Linked DNA regions of Kluyveromyces lactis. The protein of the gene in region 3 purifies or fractionates together with the protein of the main gene of each other region. This does not show direct contact. Links are inferred from orthologs where the notes say so. Each region holds a gene or a part of one and is shown on either strand. Other genes may lie near its edges. The genes, in order: ERB1, CIC1, TIF6, DRS1, NOC2, RSA4 and PUF6.

Region 1 (4,185 bases), on a different chromosome or scaffold from region 3:
TCCCAGGGCATATAGCATGTGATGGGGAGACAAAGAGTGAAATTGTGGTTCCTATAGTCCAAAATGGCGAAACAGTAGGTGTTATCGATATTGACTGTTTGGACTACAACGGGTTTACTAAGCTTGACCAAGAATTTCTAGAAAAATTGGCCGCTTCAGTTTCAAAGACATGCGTATTCTAACTCATTAAGTAGTTACACTCGTTAATTATATTCTCTCAATTGATATCACAACTCTTGACCGTATATGAAGTTGCCTGTTATTGCATACCTAACATAGGGCATGCTGCCCCAGGTCCAGTGGAACAGAAGTTTTCTAGTTTTCAATGAAAAAAATGATTTCGCCCAGGATCGAACTGGGGACGTTCTGCGTGTTAAGCAGATGCCATAACCGACTAGACCACGAAACCATCTTGTGAGGTCTGTCGTAATATAGACTGAAGACAAGCCAGACGAGAGGTCATGTGAGCTAGCCAGCACACGGCAGAGTTCCAAGACGTCAGTGACTGGGCATATGGATCCTGTGGTATCCAGAAGGGATGGCCTAGATGGATCATAGACGGTCACGTGATGGTCTTGAGTGCGCGTGGAGGACGGTAGCTGCAGAGGACCTACAAGGGCATGGAGGCAATGAGTTGCCATGACGAAGTCTGACGACCATCCGAGTATATAAGTCGAGTATAAAAGGCTGAGCTATGTTGCGACCTCTTGGGGAGGTTGGACGCATATACTCAACGATCTAACTAAATAGATTATTATATTATATTCGTTATATTGTTTGATATCAACGATCCCTCATCAGGCGATTAATCAATCAACTATCATCCAAGGCATATCACAACAAGATCTGAGAGAACTACATGAGTATATGTTACATCGTTAAGAGTTTCTGAAGAAACGAAATAGGTCTCTCTTATCAGCGCCCCAAATTGGAATAATGAAGTTTACTGGAAATAGCTTCTTCAATGATGAAATTACAAACTTGAAAACGATGTTGCATCTACTAGAATAAAACTAAGATAACTGTCTATGATGCAAAAAAAATAAGAGTTAAGAATTACATTCATTGTAGGCTAGCGACCAAAGTAAATATCTTCAACGTAAGTAGAAGTATATGTGGAGTTGATTGAATACCAGTTCCCTATCTTTGCTGAAGGGTACTTTGACTTTTTCAAAATAGCATTCTTGTTCAAAACTTTGTAGAAGTAATTAATGTATCGTAATTTTCTTTCTTTTTGTTTCTTAAAATTTTCAATTTTCATCTTGAGAGATGAGATGAGATGAGCTGAAGTGAATAGACCACAGAGATAACCAGTACTTCTCAAAGTTAACGGCATCAGAAGAAGCTCTGAAAGTATAGAGAGCCAGAAAACAATACCAGAAACTATGGCCAGAAAGAATTCTTCTTTGAATGGTTCTGAATCAGCGGAGCTTGTTGTAAAAAAGAGAGTTCTCGAGGAATCTGAATTGTCCGATTCTGAAGATGAAAGAATTGAAGTTGATGGTTTAATCGATGAAGAGGCTAGCGAAAATGAAGCTGAGGAAGCTGAAGATGACGACTCTGATGCTGAATTCAATCGCTTATTAGCTGAAGAAGAAAATGGACAGGAGGAGGAGTATAATACTTCAGATTTTTCTGAAGAAGGCGATGCTTTTTCCATTACCGACAAATTGTCAAATGTAAAGTTAACAGTGATTCCAGAAACAAGCGATGAAGGCATTGTTCGTACCAAGTATTCAGATGGAAGACCAAGAATTCTTAAGTCAGAAATTAATCCTGTTTATGATAGTGATGATAGTGATGCAGAAGCTAAGAACACAATTGGTAACATCCCACTATCTGCATATGATGAAATGCCACATATTGGTTATGACATTAATGGTAAGAGAATAATGAGACCAGCCAAAGGATCTGCTTTAGATCAATTATTGGAATCTATAGAATTGCCAGAGGGTTGGACAGGTTTACTAGACAAAGACAGCGGTGCCTCTTTGAATTTGACCGAAGAAGAACTTGAATTAATCAATAAGTTGCAAAATAATCAACAGACGGACGAATCTGTGAATCCATACGAACCTTTAATCGACTGGTTCACTAGACACGAATCTGTAATGCCAGTTACGGCCGTCCCAGAACCGAAAAGACGTTTCGTTCCGTCAAAGCACGAAGCCAAGCGTGTGATGAAAATAGTCAAAGCAATCAGAGAAGGTAGAATTATCCCACCAAAGAAACTAAAGGAATTAAGAGAAAAAGAAGAACAAGACAGTCATAACTACGATCTCTGGGGAGATGCCGAAGAAATCTCTGAACATGTTATGAACTTGAGAGCCCCAAAATTGCCACCACCAACAAATGAGGAGTCTTACAACCCTCCGGAAGAGTATCTTTTGACCCCAGAGGAAATTGATGCATGGGAAAAGATGGAACCAAGTGAAAGAGAGAGAAATTTTGTGCCTCACAAATTCGCTGCATTAAGAAAAGTTCCAGGTTACTCTGAATCTGTCAGAGAAAGGTTTGAAAGATCATTAGATTTGTATTTAGCGCCTCGTGTTCGCAAAAATAAGTTGAACATTGATCCTGAATCTTTGATCCCAGAATTGCCCTCTACAAAAGATTTGAGACCATTTCCAATCCGTTGCTCTACCGTTTATGTCGGTCATAAAGGAAAAATTCGTACAATGTCCATTGATCCAACTGGATTATGGTTGGCTACTGGTTCCGATGATGGCACTGTCAGAGTATGGGAAATTCTTACAGGTAGAGAAGTTTACCAAGTCACAATACTTAATGCGGAAGAAAACAATGATGACCACATAGACGTTGTTGAATGGAATCCCGACAGTACTACCGGTATCCTTGCGGTTACTGCTGGCGAAAACATCTTCTTGCTTGTTCCACCAATTTTCGGCTTTGAAATTGAAAACACAGGTAAATCAAAGATTGAATACGGTTTTGGTTTCGATACTTTCGGAAACGTCAAAAAGAGTAATCTCAATGTGAATAGCGATGATGAGGATGACGGTGCTGAATCACATGCTGTCAAGAAACAGGTTGCTCAATGGAATAAACCAACCGAAAGGCAAGCTGCCAATGATATTTGTATCGTAATAACTTGTCGTAAATCAGTGAAAAAGCTTTCATGGCATAGAAAAGGTGATTACTTTGTCACTGTTCAACCAGACTCAGGTAATACATCAGTTTTGATTCATCAATTATCCAAGCATTTAACTCAATCGCCATTCAAAAAATCTAAGGGTATCATTATGGATGCAAAATTCCATCCATTCAAGCCACAGCTCTTGGTCTGTTCTCAAAGATACGTCAGAATTTATGACCTATCGCAACAAGTGCTAATCAAGAAACTTCTACCTGGTGCTCGTTGGTTATCTACTATTGATATTCACCCAAGAGGTGATAACTTAATTGCATCCTCGTTTGACAAGAGAGTGTTGTGGCATGATCTTGACCTTGCAAGCACTCCATATAAGACCTTGAGATACCATGAGAAGGCTGTAAGAAGCGTAAGTTTCCACAAGAAACTACCACTGTTTTGCTCAGCTGCGGATGATGGTAACATCCATGTTTTCCATGCCACGGTCTATGACGATTTAATGAAGAACCCTATGATCGTCCCGTTGAAGAAACTAACCGGCCACAAGATTGTGAATAGTTTAGGTGTTCTAGATACTATATGGCATCCACGTGAAGCTTGGCTATTCTCTGCAGGTGCCGACAAAACCGCTCGTTTGTGGACTACCTGATAGAACCCTCATGACGGGATATTTGTAAAACACTGTATACTATGGACATCATTACCTATCAATATTACAAGTAGATACTTTCTAATTAGTGTTCAAGGGAATACATTATTATCTTTGGATCAGAGCTCAAAAGGTATCCATGTCTCTCATCATTGCCATTTCCTCATCTGATGCGATATCATTACCGTTATTTGTTGTGCTGGCAACGGTCGTAATTTTACTCAATTCGTCTAACTCTTCAGCGTTAGGCAGAGCGTAGCCATTTTGTGTATGTTGCCGTATGTTTGTATCAGTGGTGGACAACATTTCATTCGTGTGCCGCTGGTGATGCGAAGAATATAGAACATCATCATCATCATCATCATCATCATCATCGTCATAGTTGCCGTCATTATTCTGATTTTTGTCTTTGTCTAGGCTGATA
Region 2 (3,019 bases), on a different chromosome or scaffold from region 3:
TCTTCCTCTTTTGTTAGATATTTTACCGTCATCGTCTGAGTCTGATTCTGGTTCTGAGTCTTTTCGTTCGGTCGCTCCTTTTCTTCCGTAATCCGCATCTTCGTCTTCTTCTTGTTCTTCTTCTTCTTCTTCGTCAGAATCTATTCCAACAGCTTTTCTACGGTTTGAAGAAGGCTCAGTATCAGAGTCACTCTCGTAGTCACTGTCACTGTTTTCATCTTCAGATTCGCTATGTTTCCCTTCGTTAACTTCCTCAACCGCATCAAACCAGTCACTATATACATCTACCGGTTGTGATAGACCATTAATGCGGGTTTGGAACGATTGTCCACAAATCTTACAATGAAGCGAGCCAATGTTATTCTTTTTGTCCATTGTTACGCTCACAGAGCGTTCGTGATTACAGAAGAGACAATTGAATGCCGTATCTAACCTCTGTACTATCTTCTTGGCTGGACCTCTGGATGACTTCTTTCTCTTACCCATGTCTAATGCTCTTCTTATTTGTCTTGTGAGAGCGTATGCTTACCCCTGCGGCTAGATTTGATTAATATATGCTAATATGCCTTTTGCAGTATAAATGAACGGGGACGATGACTATGTTTACGATATAATAATAATAATAATAATAATAGCAACTTAATAACTCATAAATCAGATTCGTGCGGCGTATTCTCTGTTAAGGTATCCTTTATATCGATCGTGAGTCCTGTTTGACAGCCGAAAAAACCTAACTCAAAAATAGTACTGTTCCGAAATAAACCAGAGAAAGAAACCCTAAAATACACAGTTTAAGCCCTTTTGTATTGTAACCCCATTCACTGAACGTAGCCCGTTGCTCATTAGTAACTTTTGCACAAACACGCACCGAGATTCAATATCAGATTCGGTTACTCTTTATTTCTTAAGTGTCAAATGTTATCAAATTTCAAGAAAAGTTTCAAATCATATATTACGGCCTTCGCTTTCAAAAAGCAATATTTACTAACTACGTGAACACAGTGGAGCTCCTGCGAAACAGAAAATTTTTATTTTTGACAATAGAGAGCTCATCTCATCATAGCTCATCTCATCTCATCTCGAAGTATGTTGCACACCTAACACGATTAATAAAGTAATGGTATGTAAAGTATTTAAGTACCTATTCTTATTTCTCAGCTCAAAGGATTGATTAGATATATACTGGATATTTCATAGTTGCCAGTACGAACTCGAGAAGTAAGCTTACCTAGGTGAACCAACAATTTGTTGATCTTTTTCTGAGACAGTGCGAATCAAGTAAGTTAAAAAACGCTTGGAAAGAATCCAGAATATAGAGGAAATAACTCCACTCATCCAGTCTAGTATATCTACAAGCACATTATAAGCAATATCAAAGTTTAGATAATATGGCAACTAAAACTAAGAAAAGCAAGGTTTCGACCAAAGCCACCAAGGCTACTAAGGGCAGTAAAGAGGAAGAAGTCATTCCAGTTAACAGAGTTAACAATGCTGTTATTAAATTGCAAGAATATTTGAAGGAAAATGGATCAAATGACAATCAGTTAATTGATGATTCTGAATTGGAGGCTCAGCTACAGTTGATCCTAGTCAACACTGAATCTTTTACTGGTTCTTTGAAAAACTTCAAACCAAAACTAATTACAGTTCCTCATTCTATCTTCAAGCCATGGAAGGAAGCTAGCACCACCATGGTTAAAGATTTCAAGACTCTTTTGATTCTAAAAGATTCTGATATCAATTCAGTGACATCAGAAGACTTGATCGATCTACTTCCAGAACATATTACTATTGATGCCATCATATCTGGTAAAGATTTGAAGACAAAATACAAGGCTTTTGAAAAGAGGCGTGCATTTGTACAGGATTTTTCTTTCATTCTAGCTGATGACTCGATAGTGACAGCTTTGCCCAAGCTATTAGGTGGTAAAGCATACAGTAAGTTGAATACCACTCCAATTGCCATTAACACAAGATCGGATAACAAGTTTAACAAGACAACTTTGGTAAATAGCATCAAGAGAATTTATGATACTAAAATCCCAGTCAAACTTCCAAGAGGTAACACGATGAATGTTCATCTAGGTTCATTGGAATGGTTCACCCCAGAACAATTGACTGAAAATATCATTTCTGTCGCTAAACAGTTCATCGAAAAGTACAATATCAGAACCATTCTTCTCAAATCTAACGAATCACCAGTCCTTCCATTATACGTTAATTTGGAAGTATTAGACAAATTGGTTGGGTCCAGACATGATGCTAAGACTTCCGTTCAAAATGTCATAGAAATTGATGGTGTCGAATTGCAACTATCACAATTTGAGAAATCTTTGTTAGAAATTGCAAATCCAGACGAACTAGACTCCTTGTTTGCTACGCAAATTAAGCAAGCCAAAAGAAACTTGGAAGAGGTCGAGGCAGAAGAAGAGCAAGAAGAACAAAAGAAAGAGCAAACGAAAGAACAAAAATCCAGCGCTAAAAGACAAAAGACAAAGAATAAAAACGTAAAAAATTAGAGGTACAGGAGTATCGCGTTTTTTTTCATTCCTCTTTCTTAATTTCTATCCTTCACAAATATCGTCTTAAAACTTACCCATTTAGCATAGATTTAACGGCTGTCACCGCTCCTACAATGATAGTTTTCCCTACAAAATGTATTTAATCTGTACTCAAATTTTCCAGATAGCATCGATACTTTGCAATTCATAAAAGAATAACAGTAGTTAAATTCAGTGCGTTTTCGAACCAGCAGGAAAACGTTATTCCTAGTATTGTTTGGATGGTGCAAACCCATCGCCGCTCGAACAACTTTTCTGATGTGCCACATTTAGGTTTGCTGGTTTTTCTGTGTGGACTGGTGCGTCCATGCAGTCAGTGAAGGAAAAGGAAAAACGAAAAATAAAAGTGTCACAAAAAGATTTAATTACTATATTAAACATATGTCAAATATTATATAAACCACAGATTTCACAAACTTTCACATCATCACCTCTGTTATTCGTGCTTATTCGTAGTT
Region 3 (2,565 bases):
CTTCCCATATGCGGCAAACTTTTCTCTTCTATTTGATGGTGTAGTCTTGGTGGAAATTCCTAACTCGTTCAAATATTCACGGTTTTCTTCGGGGGTAGCCTCTGGAGGTGGCTTGATCTTGAAGAACTTCTTAATACCCATGGTTTCACTACGGTAACAGCAACCTTTTAACCTTATTTGATCGATGTTCCCCTTTTACCTTGTCTTTACCTATCTAAAAATTGATGTTAAAGGAACTACAACTTTTCGATTCTTTTGTTTCATTTAAATTTAAAGGTTTCTTTTGGGTCCAGTAGTACTTAGTGAACCACGATGCACAAAATACAAAAGAAAGAAGGAAATAAACAGTATGGGGTTGATGCAAATGCCAAAGAGCAATCAAAATAAAAATTGTACTATACAGATCCAGAGATATACACCAATATTACATTAAAAAATGGGGCGATAATGGGGGCCAAAACGATATAAATGACAGAAGAGAGCGATTGTATCAATTCCTTTTATGAGTAAGTTTCGATCAAAGTATCACGCAAGTTACCAGAGATAGCTTCTGGTTGAGCGTCTTGTAGACGGAAGATAGATTCGATCACACTTAATTCTGGAGCGGTGGTATCTAGACCAGTAACTGCCAAATAGTCGTTCACGACCATACCAGCACCGACGACTTGCGAACCACGGTTCACAGTACCAGCAACTAGTGGGACTTGCAACAAAGAGGAAAGTTCTTCTTGGTCTTGTACTGTAGTCTGAGGATGCACTAGACCACCTTGGTTAGACAACGCACAATATGAACCAACAAGAACGTTACCCGAAATTGTTTGACGGAAAACTTCAACACCTAAGACATCGGCAATCAACTCCTCAGTTTCTCTGTCGATGTCTGGATGAACCAAAGCAACATAATCATTACAACAGATAACATTACCTAACGCAGATAATCTCTCCTCAACTCTTTGAACCTTCACAGCATCTGGCAAACAGTTTCTCAAATGTTGTAATTCTTGGTCGGTAGTTTGAGTTGGAACCAATAACCCTCTACGGTTACCAGCAGTCATACGACCAACAATCCTCGTACCTGCAATAGTGGTATGAGCAATAGGAATAGCATCTCCTAATTCGGCTTCAAACGCAGAATAAAAGTTCTCCGAACCACCAAGTGCCACCAAACAGTACGAGTTAGTTAGCTTCGAAAACACACCAATTTCGTTAGAATTCTCAAATTGTGTCCTAGTCGCCATAATTTCAGTTGATTTATCTGCAGTGGTATACTGGCGTAACAAGCAGAACTAGTGTTTATAAGTCAGAAGAACTGTACTAATTCAAGCCGAATCAACCATCCGCAAGATGAGATGAGATGAGCTTAGAAATTATCCAGTGAAATCTTTAAAATTTTCCATATTGCAGTGTTTTAAAGAAACGAAACACAAATTAGGTTACCCGGAGAAGAACACACATACAGTACTATATGGGTATCTCGTACCCTTATAGATGTATAAATTTGATCAGTGAGAGTTATCCAACAACCGTTCGAAGCTTAGACGAGAAATAGCTCTCCATTTCACATTCTTTCTTCTGATCACCAGACGATTCAACGCAGGGTATACCGTACACCTGAGCGTGTTTTATTTGTTACCCGCACTTGCGTCGAATATCTTCACTAAGTCGTCAATTTCCGACATTTAAACAGCTTCAAGCTGAAAAAGCGACACATTCACAACAAATATATTGACACAAAAGCATGTTGCATGTATCTAACCTGCAGTAAGTTACATTTACGAAAACATTTTAAAGCTGTTCGATCAGTGGCAAGCAATTCATAAGAATCAAGTTTCACTGAATCATTTTTCTCTTTCCAAGATGACTGATTGTAATAGTACAACGGAGCGCAGTTTGACGTCTGGATTGGAAGCAATGTCATTGAAGGCAATATCCCCATCGAAGTTGAATAGAAGGCATAAAGTCTCGAGCAAACCTGATAAATTGAATGAAAATGTCTGTTTGGATCGCAGAGCAGAAGTTTTGGTTAATACGGAAAATGAAATGCCAACAGAAATTGTCAGTAAGATAAAGAACGAAAACTTCCATTTGCAATTGGAATTGGAACAGAAGAACCATGAGATTTCCAAATTAAAGTCAATGCTCTTACCTAAACTGACACCACCTGCAATTGATCTAAGATTAACGACAAGTTTAAAAGACCCTTTGTACTACCATCCGGAAAGCAACAAAATTCCCGGTATGTCTGGGGCTACAGTGACAAATTCAGATTACGTGTCCCATTTCTCATCATCATCATACGATGGGAATAGAAATGACGTTAGAGAGACCTCAACCGTTGCTAGTACTACAATATCAAGAAAGGAAAAAAACCATATGTTGTTCACTAGGAATATTTTACCCTTTATTCGGGATTCCATCAACATGTATAAAAACTCCCATGTTTTAAATGAAGAAGTGGTCCCGATAGAAAAAGAGCTCGATAAGTTTTATGATAACTCCTTGAAGAAGGACGAAAAATGTGAAGTATTTTCTAATGTACTCTTAGGGTTACTCAGGGTACAGAGA
Region 4 (4,195 bases), on a different chromosome or scaffold from region 3:
CAGGTCCAGGGTGGTTTAACCATATACAAATCTGGTGATGCAATGAAACAGAAATCAATCTTCCAATTGCTGGATGACCTTCTAGCCAGAAACCAATTATACATAGAAAACAGCCATAATGACGAGAGCGAGCAACAAAGCTTCAAATCTTTTCCGGAGGAGTAGAGGACTTGATTTCTTTATTGTTACGTCGAAAATGTCTCATGGTTTCGGACCCTTTGATTAATTGTCGTGATTTCATCAAGAATAATATAACACATTTCCATTACATAAGTATATAAACATGCAAAACTTTTTATTTTTGTGCTTCTAGATCTCTAAGTTCGATGCTTTTCCCTGGAACTTGAGAAGCTGGCTGGCTGGCACTGGCAGGTGCAGAATCGTCATCCACCATACCTTCGAAAAATGTGTCTTTCAACTCTCTCCACCTGGTAATCCAAGTCCCAAGGAAAATCAATATCAGTGTAGACAAAAATTGCAAGATAAACCATGCTAGTGAAGGGAATAGCCCTGTGTGTGTCCATACTACTACTAGATTTATAGCATGGATTGTAATGGCAAAATCCCACGCGAGTTTACTCCTTCCCACTATGATGGTCAAAAAAAAGACACAAATCAAGGAATCAATTAACCAAAGGGCTGATAAAGAAATACCAAAAGAGTTTGAGAAATCAATGTCCTGCCATGTAAACAACCATTGCTTTAGCTTTATTTCGTACCCACATATTTTCGCCCAGCAATAAAACAAAGTTGATGCAGTGAGATAATAGAACATTTGCAAGAGTATAATCTGAACGATTATTTTACCAGGGGACTGAGACTCTTGTTTGAAGATTTCAGTGGGTAATAGTTCTCTCGGAACACGCATGTATCGTCTAAGCGAAGCCATCTCCCTGATTGGTTGAAATGTCTCTAATCGGTCGCCTTTCTAAAACTGCACTTGGTACAGTTCAATTCTATCAAATATAACTGGTGCGAACAACCAAAAGAATTCACCGAATATTATAGGAGGAATGCAATAAGTAACGAAAGAGGACTAACTACTCAATTCTGTCTTTATTTTCAAGTCTCTCAAATCATGTCTCAATCACAACTCATCTTGGATTTAATATGTTGCTTAGAGATTCCGAACTAGTTTCCATGTTGACAACCAGTGGTTACCCTAACTTGACGATATGTTTTTCCTCAAAAGAAATTTTCCATGTTCAAGCTTTTCACATCTGGAATGGCGATGAGATGAGCTTGAGATGAGCTACGACAACTAGAATAACTTAGCAGTGAGTACTGTTCATTGTTCCTTATTATAACTTCTACAGGTGACATACTATTTATCTAGTGCTATTATTCTTCACTCATTTCTACTTTGCGAGAAAGAATAGAATTCTTGTTGTTCTTTGATTGAGTATTAAGGTAAGTGGAAAATAAAGAGATATACGGCATTCGTTAATATGGCTGTTAAGAAGTTTAGATCATTCGATGATTTTGTTCCTACAATTAGTGATAGCGAAGAAGATGTTCCAGATTTAGATGCTTCTGATGACGAAATGGAAAAGAAGCCAGTGAAGTCCTCAAAAACTAAGAACAAATCTAAAAAGAAGGCCAAGCAACAACAGGGATCTCACTTGGACGAAGATGTCCATGAAGATTTGAATCCAGAATTCCAATTCTCCATTGACAGCGGAGAAGTTACCACCAACTTTGCAGGCTGGGATTTCCAAGGTGATGAGAAGAGTGATGAAGTTGAGAAAAAAGATGTCGATCTAGATGGGATCATTAGAAGAAAAGGTGGTTTGATTATGATGGCTGCTACAGGCAGTGATGCCGAAGAAAGCCTATCAGAAGAGTCCGAAGAAGAACCAGAAGAAGGAGACGAACCTGGCGAGAGTGATGATGAAGATGAATTAGCTTTGGATGGGTTCGGTATGGGTGTCAAGAGAAAGGCAACAGAGGAAAATGAAGAAGATGAAGAGGATGAAGAAGAAGAGGATGACGACGAAGATGACGACAAAAAGACCGAAATGAGTCAGGCAGATTTAGGTAAGGGAAAAGACGAAGATGAAGACATTGAAGAAGACACTAAAGAAGAAATGGCTGAATTTTATGCTCCAGAAGAGGAAAGTGCGGATGCTAAAAAGATCGTTCATAAAACTTTCAACAGCTTGTCGTTATCCCGTCCTGTGTTGAAAGGGCTTGGAAGTTTAGGATACACCAGTCCTTCTCCAATTCAAAGTGCTGCTATTCCTATTGCCCTTCTTGGTAAAGATATCATTGCCGGTGCTGTTACAGGTTCTGGTAAAACAGCTGCTTTTATGATTCCTATCATCGAACGTTTGTTGTACAAACCTGCACATATTGCATCAACAAGGGTTGTTGTACTAACTCCAACCCGTGAATTGGCTATTCAAGTGGCTGATGTTGGTAAAAATATCGGTAAGTTTGTTAACGGACTAACGTTTGGTTTGGCCGTCGGTGGTTTGAATTTAAGACAACAAGAACAAGCATTGAAGACCAGACCTGATATCGTAATTGCCACACCAGGTAGATTTATCGATCATTTAAGAAATTCTGCGAGTTTCAGCGTTGATTCAGTTGAAATCTTGGTCATTGACGAAGCTGATAGAATGTTAGAAGAAGGTTTCCAAGAGGAACTACAAGAAATCATGTCTCTCATTCCAAGTAAGAGACAAACTCTGTTGTTTTCTGCTACAATGAACTCAAAAATTAAGCAATTAATCTCGCTATCTCTAAAGAAGCCTGTTAGGATTATGATTGATCCTCCAAAACAAGCAGCAGATAAATTGACACAGGAGTTCATCCGTATACGTAAAAGAGATCATCTCAAACCGGCATTATTATATCAATTGATTAGAAAGTTGGACAATACAAGCCAGAAGAGAATAGTAGTTTTTGTTGCTAGGAAAGAAACTGCCCATAAACTGAGAATCGTCCTTGGGTTATTGGGTATGCAAGTTGGTGAATTGCATGGTTCGTTAACCCAAGAACAACGTCTACAGTCTGTTAATAACTTCAAATCCTTACAAGTACCAGTCTTAATCTGTACCGATTTAGCTTCGAGAGGTTTAGATATTCCAAAAATTGAAGTGGTTATCAATTTCGATATGCCAAAAACTTACGAAATTTACTTACACAGAGTTGGTCGTACTGCCAGAGCGGGTAGAGAAGGTCGTTCAGTAACCTTTGTAGGCGAATCATCTCAAGATAGAAGTATTGTCAGAAGTGCGATCAGATCAGTGGAAGAAAACGCTGAAAGTGGAAAGGCCTTGAGTAGAAACGTTGACTGGACACAAGTCGAGCAAGTCAACAGCTTGATTGGAGCAAAGGGTGATGTTGTAGAGGAGATTATTGAAGAAGAAAAGCAAGAGAAAGAGATACTTAGAGCTGAAATGGAACTTCGCAAAGGTGAAAACATGCTAAAACACAAGGAAGAAATCAGTGCAAGGCCAAGAAGAACCTGGTTTCAATCAGAAGCTGAGAAGAAGAACTCTAAAATGCTTCAAGTTTTGGCAAAAAACAAAAAGCCAATCAACAGTAAGAAGAGAAAACAGCAAGAAGCATTGGCTGAGAATCCTCGGCTATATAAAAAGACACAAAAAGATCGTGTCGAATATCAGGAACGTCAATACAGCAAGAAGCAAGCTGCCTACGGAAAGAAGGGAAAGAAGGGTAAGAAATAAATTACTGTCCTATGTTCTTAGTTTTGGCTTAATTATCAATGCGCATGAAAATTCATTATATACTACATAAACGCAGTTGAGGTGTTATTACATAATCATCAACTCTCATTCGTAATATATACCCATCGAGAGTTGCTTTAGAGTTTCTGGATTGTAATAAAAGTCATCCGTTTCCTCCTCTGAGAAGGATTCCAGTGACTCATCATCTCTAAATTTATCATCAAGAGCAGCAAGTTGGACGTTCCTTCTTAATTTTATTAATGTATCGATTTGTTTCTCAGTTTCTGGTGATAATTTGGCGTGTTTACTTTGTGATAATAATTGTAAACCATCCAACCAGGTGTAGAAGCTCTCTGTACTCTCCAAGTAAAATGCAGATAAAATTTTCCCGTTTCTGTCAAAGGTGGTAACTTCTCTATAAATTGTGTTCTGAAGAATATTAATCAATCTAACACCTTCAGGAAGCTTTCTATCGAGTTCAATTTGCCTACTTTGAATGT
Region 5 (3,895 bases), on a different chromosome or scaffold from region 3:
TGGTAAAGTTGGGAATATGTGATACTCCACCTTCATTGAAGATGGCCCTACGGCGAGTACTTTGTATTTGTTCGTGGCCTTTTGGAGGACCAATAACGTTGCCTCTCTTATCAAGTTGAGCTTGGAAACTTGTTGATTTTTCATGGAGCAAAGAATTAATGAGAGACGTTTTCCCAACGTTAGGATTACCCAATAAATAGCATCTTTTAGCCAAAGCATTTATCACTGATGGAATATTCCAATTTCTTGGGTTAGAGAACAATACTACTTTCTTAACATGTACGCCTATATGACGTCTACAAAATTCCGCAAAAAAAGCACTCCCTTTATGTGGTAGCATTGATGACTTGTATGTGATCTGATCAGCCTTTGAAAGTAGTAAATAGTTTCTATTATTCTTTTCTGCCAGGATAGTTTTGTCTAATGACAAGGGAAAGTCAGACAAAGACACAACGTGGTATACGTTTGCAGCATGCGGCAAAGCGCCCTTTATATCGTTGAAAGAATGAATTGGAAAATCAGATGAGTTGTACCTGTTATGACTTATAGCATCGACACATCTTTTACAAACCAATCTTTTGGGAATAGGTTCTTTATAATCTGGATCGGTGTCTGGATCAAGTAGCCCGATTTCATGTTTTTTTAGCTGAAGTTCTTGTGTGAACATTAAATACTTCAAATCTTCAATGGTGCCAGCATCTTTCCTGACAGCGCGAGGAGGCTTATAGTAGCCTGTCACAGAAGGATTCTTGGATTGCAACTCAACACCACAGCTTTTGCATGATACAAACCGAGTAAACTGCTTAAAAGCTTGGAGCCGTGATTTCATAAAAGGTAATACTACTACTATTTTCTGATGCATATACCTCAGTACTCTTATCAATAACGGCTCAAAACTGTTGCATCTCTCGACATTCTGTTTGCAGTTTGTTGCATCTTTTGTCGATACCTTTCCAAGCATGTCAATTACCATATTACTTGCACTATTCATCGATGTCAAGGCGATGCCATTACCCGGATACAAAAAGAAACGCCATGAAAAGTTTTCCAAATATCCAAACCAAAATTCAATCCGATGAGATGAGATGAGATGAGATGAGATGAGATGCCCCAAGAAGAGATATAGAGAAACTTTAACGCAGCTCTAACAACTTAACCAGTAGTCGCTCTAGATAATCTTCTTGAAATCATATTGTTGATCAAAGGCATAATCTTGGGACCTGTTACCTATTGATAAAGGGATCAAGAATTACACAATGGGTAAAGTTTCAAAAGCTACTAAAAAGTTTCAGACGAAACACTTGAAGCATACGTTGGACCATAGAAAGAAGTTAAAAGATCATTCTAAGAGAACCGCCGGTCGTAGGGGTAATAAGACAGAAGAAGAAAAGAATGCAGCTGCGTTGACCAAAGAAGATCAAAAGTTGAAGAAGTCCGCTAAGGAAGAAGTCTTCAACGACATGAAGGTTGAAGAGTTCTTCGACAATGGGTTCGATATTCCAAAAATGTCAAAGAAAATGGCTAAAGAAACCGAAAAAGCATCAAAGGTGAAAGATAATGATTCAGAGTCTTCTGCCGAAGAAGATGAAGATGTTAAAATGGATATGGAAGATTTGGCAAAGAAGGATCCTGATTTCTACAAATATTTGGCAGAGAACGAACCAGATCTTTTGTCTTTCAAATCTACCAATCCTCTAGATGAAATATCAGATGACGAAGAAGGGCAAGTGGGTGAAGAAGAAGAACTGAAAGAACCTGATTTATCAAAGTCCAAGAAGGAGGAAAAAGATAGCAAAATTGCCGTCGACATAAAGCTCGTAAATAAATGGAAGAAGGATTTAAAAAATAGCCCATCTTTCAAAACTATCAGAAGTGTGGTTTCAGCTTTTAAAGCTGCTGTGAACATGAACAACGAGGAAAATGTAGACGATTACAAGTTCACAGTTCTTGATGAAAAAGCCTTCCACGAGTTAATGTTCGTTGCCCTTGTGGATATGCCAAAAGCCGTCCAAAAATTGACACCTTATAGGGTCAGTAAGAATGAAACCAGAACTCTCCCATCAAATAAAAATGTTACAAAATTGTCCTCTGTTTTGAAATCGCACGTTCCATCTCTTATCGTTCTCCTAAGTGACATCACAAACACAGACGTCGCTTCAATGATTTTGCATTCTACCTATGAGCTATTACCATACTTTATTTCATTTAGAAGATTACTAAAAGAATTAATTTCTCAAGTCGTCGAAGTTTGGTCCACTACTGGAGACGTTGAAACTCAAATTGCCACATTCGCGTTTTTGAACAATGCCTCTCGTGAATATAAGAAAGCTTTATTAGAAGTTGTATTGAAGTCCACGTATTCTACTTTCATTAAAAGTTGTCGTAAAACTAACATCAGAAACATGCCTCTAATCAATTTCCAAAAGAACTCTGCTGCTGAACTTTTCGGTATTGATGACGTTATAAGTTATCAATCGGGTTTCGAATATATCAGACAACTAGCCATTCACTTGAGAAACAGTATCAATGCCACAACTAAGAGGTCCTCAAAGGTGGACCCATCAAGTGCTTACAAGATTGTATATAACTGGCAGTTCTGTCACTCTTTGGACTTCTGGTCTCGTGTTATATCCATCCAATGTAACCCAGAAAAGGAAAACGGCCACGAATCCCCTCTTAGACAATTGATTTACCCACTAGTCCAAGTTACCATTGGTGTCATTAGATTGATTCCAACAGCACAATTTTTCCCATTGAGATTTTATTTGATCAGATCCTTGATCAGATTATCTCAAAACACTGGTATCTTCATTCCAGTTTACCCATTATTATCTGAGATTCTCTCCTCTACTGCATTCACAAAGAAACCTAGAAAGTCAACGTTACCTGCATTTGACTTTGATCATAACATCAAGTGTACACAAGCATACTTGGGGACAAAAATATACCAAGACGGGCTAGCTGAGCAATTTGTAGATTTGCTAGGTGAGTACTTTGTTCTATACTCCAGAAGCGTTTCATTCCCAGAATTAACAACGCTTGCCGTTATCTCATTACGTCGTTATATCAAGAATTCTGAGAATGTAAAGTTTAACAAGATGTTGCAAAACGTGGTAGATAAAATCAACCAAAACGCTCAATTCATTACAAAGAAGAGATCAGATGTAGACTTCGGACCAAACAACAGAACAGAAGTAGAAAAATTCTTAAATGAAATATCGTGGAAAGATACTCCTCTTGGTTCCTGGGTTGCTATCCAAAATGAGGTTAAGGAAGAAAAGGCCAGACTCTTAAGAGAATCCTTGGAATCTGACGATGATGAAGAAGAAGAAAATATTTCTGACGGAGCCCAAGACATAGTAATGGATGATGCTGAATCTGAAGCAGATGAATAATCAAATGATTGTATGATAAGTTCAAACTTTCTTCAATTTTAAATTCATTGGTAATCCTATGTCTTCGACCATCTTATATTGGATTGCCTCCTTGTCAAAGACATCGGCGGTAAATTTCATGAAAATAGAAATTACATTATGTAAATTATTTTAAACATGTATACTCAACATTACATTCAGAATACAAAGCTCGGGAGTACAATCTGCGGTAGGCATAACTTGACCAAGTGGAATAATTCTTATACCAGTACTCATTACAGGCGTTATGTCGAATGTCATGAATTTTGAAGGTGATAGTGAAACAACCTTAGTTCAAGAGAATGATTCATTTAGTGATATCTTGCCCAAGTTATCTTGCAGAAACCCTGAAGAAAGATCTACGGGTAGTGTGTTACTTTTAAAGGAGATCCGGAGGTTAGAGAACGATCTTGATCGACAAATACGAGATCTTACGAAGAAAGAGTTTGCTTTGAAAAGGGCAGTGAAAATAATGCAAACTT
Region 6 (3,421 bases), on a different chromosome or scaffold from region 3:
GGTACTGTATATTCCGCTGTTAACCTAGATACTGGTGATATTTTAGCGGTAAAAGAGATCAAAATCCAAGATGCTAAATCCATGAAGCAAATTTTCCCATCTCTCAAAGAAGAAATGCGCGTCATGGAGATCTTAAATCACCCGAATATTGTTCAGTACTATGGTGTGGAAGTTCACAGAGACAAGGTTAATATCTTTATGGAATTCTGCGAGGGTTCCTCCTTAGCCAGTTTACTCGAACATGGCCGGATTGAAGATGAAATGGTAACTCAAGTTTACACACTACAATTACTTGAGGGATTGGCATGTTTGCACCAATCTGGAGTTGTGCACAGAGATATCAAACCGGAGAATATCTTATTGGATCGTAATGGCGTTATCAAATATGTAGATTTTGGTGCCGCAAAACTCATTGCAAAGAACGGATCAAAGAGGATATCACTGGATGCCAATAACAAATCTACAGGCGGGAAAGATATGATCGGAACACCGATGTATATGGCACCAGAAACGGTGACTGGTCAAGGACACGGAAAATTCGGATCCGATGATATATGGTCTTTAGGTTGTGTTGTACTGGAAATGGTGACCGGTAGACGTCCATGGGCTAACTTAGACAATGAATGGGCTATCATGTATCATGTTGCAGCTGGTCACCTTCCGCAATTCCCAACCAAGTCTGAAATTTCATCTGCGGGTAGAAAGTTCATAAGCAGATGCTTAATACAAGATGCCAATAAAAGAGCAACTGCAATGGAATTGTTACTTGATCCCTGGATTTCTCAAATACGTAACATTGCATTTGGTGGCAATGCAGAATCTTTTAATAATGAAACTCATAACTAGTTCTGATAGACATAAAAGTTTCCTCCCCATGACGATCATATGTAACAATTGTAACCATAGATTTTTTTTTTGTATAAGTATTGTATGTATATATAATAATAATAGGAACTTTTGTTTGACTTTTTTTTAAACAATGCCGGATCCGTATAGTATCAATGTAACATGCACTTTCCGTTATCTGTGAGTTGCTTGCCAGTAAGTAAATTGCAGTCTAGGAATTTTTTGTGCCTGATGCTCCCCATAAGGTATTCAGAGCATAGTTTCAACATAATAAAGATTTATATTACCCGGAAGTGGTGAACTAAAAGAAATTCTTAAGTTCAAGAAAATCTTTTGAGATGCCGATGAGATGAGATGAGATGAGCTTCAACTACCAAGTCGACTTCCCTAAAAAGGAGAAGGTTCTGGTGAACGATATTAGTATTCCAGCAATAATCACAGGTCTTTTCTCGAAAGAAGTTTTTAGGTAATTAAACGAGCCCAAAATAATTCTCTGAATTTGTTAGGCCAAGCAATCCAAACGAAACATGGCAACCTTACTCCCACCGCCTTCAAAGAAGCAAAGAAGAGAAGCTCAAGCTGAACGTGGAGTTGACCTTATTCCCAAAGACCTTCCAAATGTTCTCATTAAATTCCAAGCTTTTGACAGTGGTGAAACTGTTGGAGGTTCTCTAAGGGTTCCAGGTGGTATTTCGGAGCAGCAACTGGAGGAATTGTTGAATCAGTTAAATGGAGACTCGGCAGATCCTGTTCCATACACGTTTAGCTGTTTAGTTAGCAACAAAAAGAAGGATGCAGATGAGGAAATGGTAGATATTAGAGATAATCTATATCAATCCATTTTAAAACCAGGTTTGAAAACTACCGAAGATTTTTTGACTCTAGTGTATACCCCAAGAGCTATCTTCAAAGTAAAACCAGTAACTCGGTCGTCTTCTGCAATTGCTGGTCATGGCTCGACAATTTTGTGTTCTGCATTTGCTCCAAATACAAGCTCCAGGATGGTTACCGGTGCTGGTGACAATACTGCATGTATCTGGGATTGTGACACTCAAACGCGTATGTGCACGTTACAAGGCCATCACAACTGGGTCCTATGTTGTTCCTGGTCTCCAGATGGTGAATTAATCGCCACAGGTTCTATGGACAACACAATTAGATTATGGGAATCAAGCAAAGGTAAGCCTTATGGTGATGCTTTAAGAGGTCACTCGAAATGGATTACCTCCTTATCTTGGGAACCAATCCATCTTGTCAAACCTGGTGACAAACCGAGATTAGCAACTGCATCCAAGGATGGAACTATCAAAATCTGGGATACAACAAGAAGAGTTTGCCTTTTAACCTTATGTGGCCATACGTCTTCTGTTTCCTGTGTCAAGTGGGGTGGAAAAAATGTTCTATACAGTGGTTCTCACGATAAAACAATCAGATGCTGGGACATGAATTTGAACGGTAAATGTATCAATATCCTAAAATCACACGCCCATTGGGTTAATCATCTTTCACTTTCAACAGATTATGCATTAAGACTCGGTGCGTTCGATCACAAGGGCGAAACTCCTGCTTCACCTGAAGAAGCCCAACAGAAGGCTCTGAAAAATTACGAAAAAGTTGCTAAAAGAAAAGGTGACTTCGAAGAACTGATGGTAACTGCCAGTGACGATTTTACTATGTATCTGTGGAACCCCTTGAAGTCTACTAAACCTATTACCAGAATGACCGGCCACCAAAAGCTCGTCAACCACGTTGCATTTTCGCCAGATGGCCGTTACATTGTTTCTGCATCCTTTGACAACTCCATTAAATTATGGGATGGAAGGGATGGTAAATTCCTATCCACCTTTAGAGGACATGTAGCGAGTGTCTACCAAGTAGCTTGGTCAAGCGACTGTAGACTACTCGTTTCTTGTTCCAAAGATACCACTTTAAAAGTCTGGGATGTCAAAACTAGAAAACTGTCCGTCGATCTACCCGGTCATCAAGATGAAGTCTACACTGTAGATTGGTCTGTAGACGGTAAACGTGTATGTAGCGGTGGGAAAGATAAAATGGTCAGGATATGGACTCATTGAGTGGATCCACTGCATCTGAATAATTAGCATGATTAAATTATAGACTGCCTTATGTATGTTATAGCTTCTTTTACATTTATTATGAGGTGCACAGGTGTCCCTTCTTCTTACAAGCTGAAAATTTTGAAAAATTAAAGCTTCAAGCATAGTTGAAAAGATGAAGAACGATTCAGCCGGCATTTACCATAGGAAATCGATAAGTTATCTATATAGTAAGAAAGGTGTACACCGGGAAAACCTGCATAACCACACAACAGCCTACTAATAATACAACGGCTAGTTAATAATGCTTACAAGAGTTACAAGAAGTTTTGCGGCTATGAGCCCAAGATCATTTCGGATTTGTACTAGACTACAATCAACCCAAGCACAGCAACCACAACAACAGGAAAACTCAGAAATTGAGCTTTTAAATGAACTTAAATCAGAAATGGACAAATTGGGACCATTATCTGATGCCGAAAGTGCCGAACTCAGTGCTTTATTTGACAGTCAAAGTC
Region 7 (3,696 bases), on a different chromosome or scaffold from region 3:
CGTTGCCGGTACTAACTTCGTATTCACTTTAGTCGCTTTCTTTGCGATTGATAAGGTCGGTCGTAGAGCAATCCTTTTGATTGGCTTGCCTGGTATGATGGTTTCCTTGGTTATGTGTGCTATCGCCTTCCATTTCCTAGATATAAAATTCACTGGCGCTGGTGAATCGGAAGTTTCCAATGGTGGATTCAGTTCTTGGGGTATAGTCGTTATCGTATTCATCATGGTATATGCAGCATTCTATGCTCTAGGTATCGGTACTGTACCATGGCAGCAATCTGAATTATTTGCAACATCCGTTAGAGGTGTAGGTACTTCTTATTGTACAGCTACTAACTGGGCTGGTTCCCTAATTATTGCATCTACCTTCCTAACAATGTTACAAAACATAACACCGACTGGTACATTTTCATTATTTGCTGCACTAGCTGCAGTATCTACCGTCTTCTGTTATCTCTGTTATCCAGAACTATCTGGTCTAGAATTGGAGGAAGTACAAACTATTTTAAGTGATGGATTCAACATCAAAGCTTCCAAACAACTAGCCAAGAAGAGAAAGCAACAAAATAGCGAAATGCAAAGGAGATTTAGAGAAAAGGACATGGAAGCTTATCAAAAGGATAAACCCTCCGATGAACTACTTGAAAGTTAATGTAAATGCAGTCATTCCCTCTTATTCTCATACCCGAAGCTACTGTCTTGGTTTTTCAATGAACTTCATATGAAGTTGAGTATATAGATAACCATAAAATCTTTTAGAATTAACAACTATAGCTGCTAAAGTTGTCCACAATTACTACTGTAATATTATCATTGTCATGTGTAAAACTCAACTTGTTTGTGATTTACAATAAAAATCTCGTTAGTTTGAAAGGGTGACATTTACTCATTTCATAATTAACTAACTCGGAAGAGAGAGCTTTCGAGAAATAGAGCTAAATCTTTGAAGCATGTAATAAACTGCCATATTCGGTTTAATCAGCCAAATCCTGTACCAACTGTATATTCCCCCCATCAAAAAAAGAGAGATTCTGGCGAATGTTTATTTGAGTTCTTTCTTTTTAGCATATTATGAAAATTTTCTGAACTTGAAAAAGAAGCGATGAGATGAGATGAGCTTATACAGTAGTAACTGCACTATGGGTAGCATTAAATAACAACATATACATTCTTATTCTCTCTCGTAGGACAATACAGCACTACAGATATGGCAGCCACGTCGAAAAAGTTGAACAAGCGTCAATTGGAATCTAAGGAGTCGAAGGATTCTGGTAAAATTGTAAAAAGAGCTAAAAACATTAGTGTTGATTCTGGCGATGAAGATTCTGATGATGTCCTCCACGGTTTATCTTCAGAAGATGAGCTAGATGATGAATTAGATGATGCTAGCTCAAATTCAGATTCAGACGAGCTAGACAACGAATCTGATCAACTGGATGAATCTGATGAGGATCAAGAAGATGCTGAAGATGAAGAAGATGCTGGAACCGGAAATGATGCAGACAAAAAAGAAAGTAATGGTGTCAGCCAGCATGCCGAACAAAGAAAAACATTAAAGGAGAGAAAACTTCAGCGTAAATCTGGTGAAACAGTCCAGCAGATCAAGTCTTTATGGGAAAGATTACGTGTCAAGAACCCTCCAATTCCAAAGCCTGTCCGTGAAAAGCTATGTAATGAGATCTGGGAACTCTCGAATGATTGTATTGAAGATTTAGTATTGAAGCATGATGCATCCAGAATTGTCCAGACATTAGTCAAATATTCTTCCAAAGAGCGCAGAGAACAGATCACGTTGGCATTGAAAGATAAAATTTATGTTTTGGCCACATCATCATATGGTAAATATTTGTTGGTTAAATTGTTACATTATGGTTCCCGAAAATCTAGACAAATCATAATCGATCAACTACATGGTAATTTGAGAAAACTAATGAGACACCGTGAAGGTGCCTATGTGGTCGAAGATTTGTTTGTTCTTTATGCCTCTCAAGAACAAAGAAATCAAATGATCAGAGAATTTTGGGGTTCAGAATACGCCGTATTCAGAGAATCTCATAAGGAACTTACGCTCGAAGAAGTTTGTGCTTCCAGCGTAGAAAAGAGAAATATTATCGCTAGAAACTTGATTGGTACCATCACTGCTTCTGTTGAAAAAGGTTCGGCAGGTTTCCAGATTTTACACGCAGCAATGAGGGAATACGTCAAAATCGCCAACGATAAAGAAACATCTGAGTTCATCGAACTTTTAGAAGAGAACTTTGCGGAATTAGTGCATACCCCAGAAGGTGCAGAAGTTGCATCTACTTTAATCGCTAAAGCAAATGCCAAAGAAAGAAAGGGGTTGATAAAGACCTTGAAAGAACATGCAATCAAGTTAATTCAAAATGAACACGGTGCCGTTGTTTTCATAACTTTATTAATGACAGTCGATGATACTGTTCTCGTCTCCAAGGCATTTTCCCCACCAATTAAGGAACATCTTCCAGAATTGATTGTTGATAAATTTGGTAGGAGGCCGCTCTTATTCCTACTTTTAGGATTAGATGGTAAATACTTCGGTCCAAATATGAAGAATGAACTACAAAGATACATTAAGATGTCGGAAACTACTTCCAAGAAGCCATTTGACCAAAGAAGACTTGAATTATTAAAAAGGTTCGCACCAATGATTTTATCTGGCGTAAACGAACACTACAAAACCATTCTAGATGAAAACATCGGTTCTCAATTTGTCGCAGATTTACTCGTTAACGATGATGTCTATGAACAACTTTCAGAGTCTGATCAAAAGTTGTTTGCCGAGCTTGTGGACACCGTCGCCATTTATTTCAAAGGTGACATTTCAGAAGAAGACCACCCTATTAACAAACCATTTTCGGCAAGGTTGCTAAAGTCTCTCATTCAAAATGGTAGATACAACGTGAAAGCAAGAAAACTAGAACCTCTAGAAAAAGTTCAGGGACTTGGTATTCCATTTGCTGAAAAATTTTATGAAGACATCATTGATTCCAGCAACCTACTCGATTGGATCAACAAACCCAACAGTTCTTTTACCATTGTGGCATTGTATGAAGCCTTACATGGGACTGAAGAAGGGGAACAATTCGATCATGATTTGAAAAAAGTGATCAAGAAAATAGAGACGAACGATTCAAACAAGGGTGCTCAACTACTTCTAAAGCTAATGAAGCATTGAGTATGTATAGTCAAGTCGTTATATAGTTTGGCTCTAAAATATGTATATTAAAGATGATATAGCTTCTCATCATTGTGGACGAAGGACGTTCTAGTCTACTATTAAGATTCACACTTCCTTAAATGAGACTATCATCTGCGAACCAGAGATAATACAGCTAAGAACATTTATTCCTCAATTCACTAATTACAGCAGTGGCATTGATGGCTTATGAATGACGATACTAAAGAGAAACCCATTTCAACTGCCTTTGAAGTAACCGATGGATTATATGCTGTTTCACCATTAATCGAGAATGTGCCTCATGAATATGAGTACTCATGTATCGAATATTATGGTCAGCACATCTACCTGGGCTCGACTTCAGGAGCGTTACTACACTATTATGAATTAGATGTTGGAAATTTCACACTGATCTCGGAAGTCAACTTCAATGAAGACAGACCAACAGGAATTGATGGCATAACGCTACTGCCGAAAATTGATAGAGCCTTAGTGTT

What was found.
Region 1: the proteins of TIF6 (region 3) and ERB1 purify together in Saccharomyces cerevisiae (affinity purification with mass spectrometry; 5 studies listed by BioGRID). This does not show direct contact. The link is inferred for Kluyveromyces lactis from reciprocal best matches to the Saccharomyces cerevisiae genes TIF6 and ERB1.
Region 2: the proteins of TIF6 (region 3) and CIC1 purify together in Saccharomyces cerevisiae (affinity purification with mass spectrometry; 3 studies listed by BioGRID). This does not show direct contact. The link is inferred for Kluyveromyces lactis from reciprocal best matches to the Saccharomyces cerevisiae genes TIF6 and CIC1.
Region 4: the proteins of TIF6 (region 3) and DRS1 purify together in Saccharomyces cerevisiae (affinity purification with mass spectrometry, with the first as the bait; 4 studies listed by BioGRID). This does not show direct contact. The link is inferred for Kluyveromyces lactis from reciprocal best matches to the Saccharomyces cerevisiae genes TIF6 and DRS1.
Region 5: the proteins of TIF6 (region 3) and NOC2 purify together in Saccharomyces cerevisiae (affinity purification with mass spectrometry; 4 studies listed by BioGRID, with this or other methods). This does not show direct contact. The link is inferred for Kluyveromyces lactis from reciprocal best matches to the Saccharomyces cerevisiae genes TIF6 and NOC2.
Region 6: the proteins of TIF6 (region 3) and RSA4 purify together in Saccharomyces cerevisiae (affinity purification with mass spectrometry; 4 studies listed by BioGRID, with this or other methods). This does not show direct contact. The link is inferred for Kluyveromyces lactis from reciprocal best matches to the Saccharomyces cerevisiae genes TIF6 and RSA4.
Region 7: the proteins of TIF6 (region 3) and PUF6 purify together in Saccharomyces cerevisiae (affinity purification with mass spectrometry; 6 studies listed by BioGRID, with this or other methods). This does not show direct contact. The link is inferred for Kluyveromyces lactis from reciprocal best matches to the Saccharomyces cerevisiae genes TIF6 and PUF6.

The regions. Positions count from the first base shown.
Region 1 is NC_006042.1:2,460,491-2,464,675, forward strand, and holds ERB1 (ribosome biogenesis protein ERB1), read left to right. Parts: upstream 1-1,385; coding exon 1,386-3,761; downstream 3,762-4,185. Other genes in the region: KLLA0_F26587g (L-methionine (R)-S-oxide reductase), read left to right, coding at 1-182; CSM3 (Csm3p), read right to left, coding at 3,888-4,185.
Region 2 is NC_006042.1:2,032,635-2,035,653, reverse strand, and holds CIC1 (Cic1p), read left to right. Parts: upstream 1-1,388; coding exon 1,389-2,519; downstream 2,520-3,019. Other genes in the region: ELF1 (Elf1p), read right to left, coding at 1-486. UniProt on the Saccharomyces cerevisiae protein: An adapter protein that specifically links the 26S proteasome to its substrate CDC4 which is one of the substrate recognition subunits of the SCF E3 ubiquitin ligase complex. Required for turnover of cell cycle regulatory proteins CDC4 and GRR1.
Region 3 is NC_006040.1:175,407-177,971, forward strand, and holds TIF6 (translation initiation factor 6), read right to left. Parts: upstream 1,239-2,565; coding exon 501-1,238; downstream 1-500. Other genes in the region: SEC9 (Sec9p), read right to left, coding at 1-141; KLLA0_D02068g (uncharacterized protein), read left to right, coding at 1,858-2,565. UniProt on the Saccharomyces cerevisiae protein: Binds to the 60S ribosomal subunit and prevents its association with the 40S ribosomal subunit to form the 80S initiation complex in the cytoplasm. Is also involved in ribosome biogenesis.
Region 4 is NC_006042.1:1,453,287-1,457,481, forward strand, and holds DRS1 (putative ATP-dependent RNA helicase), read left to right. Parts: upstream 1-1,448; coding exon 1,449-3,695; downstream 3,696-4,195. Other genes in the region: CYR1 (adenylate cyclase), read left to right, coding at 1-165; SYS1 (Sys1p), read right to left, coding at 296-889; LMO1 (Lmo1p), read right to left, coding at 3,801-4,195. UniProt on the Saccharomyces cerevisiae protein: ATP-binding RNA helicase involved in ribosome assembly.
Region 5 is NC_006042.1:102,265-106,159, reverse strand, and holds NOC2 (mRNA-binding ribosome synthesis protein NOC2), read left to right. Parts: upstream 1-1,256; coding exon 1,257-3,395; downstream 3,396-3,895. Other genes in the region: GEP3 (Gep3p), read right to left, coding at 1-991; MEI5 (Mei5p), read left to right, coding at 3,661-3,895. UniProt on the Saccharomyces cerevisiae protein: Involved in the intranuclear transport of ribosomal precursors.
Region 6 is NC_006039.1:748,364-751,784, forward strand, and holds RSA4 (Rsa4p), read left to right. Parts: upstream 1-1,373; coding exon 1,374-2,921; downstream 2,922-3,421. Other genes in the region: mitogen-activated protein kinase kinase kinase SSK2, read left to right, coding at 1-846; IMG2 (mitochondrial 54S ribosomal protein mL49), read left to right, coding at 3,208-3,421. UniProt on the Saccharomyces cerevisiae protein: Involved in ribosome biogenesis. Required for processing and efficient intra-nuclear transport of pre-60S ribosomal subunits.
Region 7 is NC_006039.1:1,047,906-1,051,601, forward strand, and holds PUF6 (pumilio-family RNA binding domain-containing protein), read left to right. Parts: upstream 1-1,207; coding exon 1,208-3,196; downstream 3,197-3,696. Other genes in the region: myo-inositol transporter ITR1, read left to right, coding at 1-652; CORVET complex subunit VPS3, read left to right, coding at 3,407-3,696. UniProt on the Saccharomyces cerevisiae protein: RNA-binding protein involved in post-transcriptional regulation. Component of the ASH1 mRNP which transports the ASH1 mRNA to the distal tip of the bud, where the ASH1 protein is translated and targeted to the daughter cell nucleus.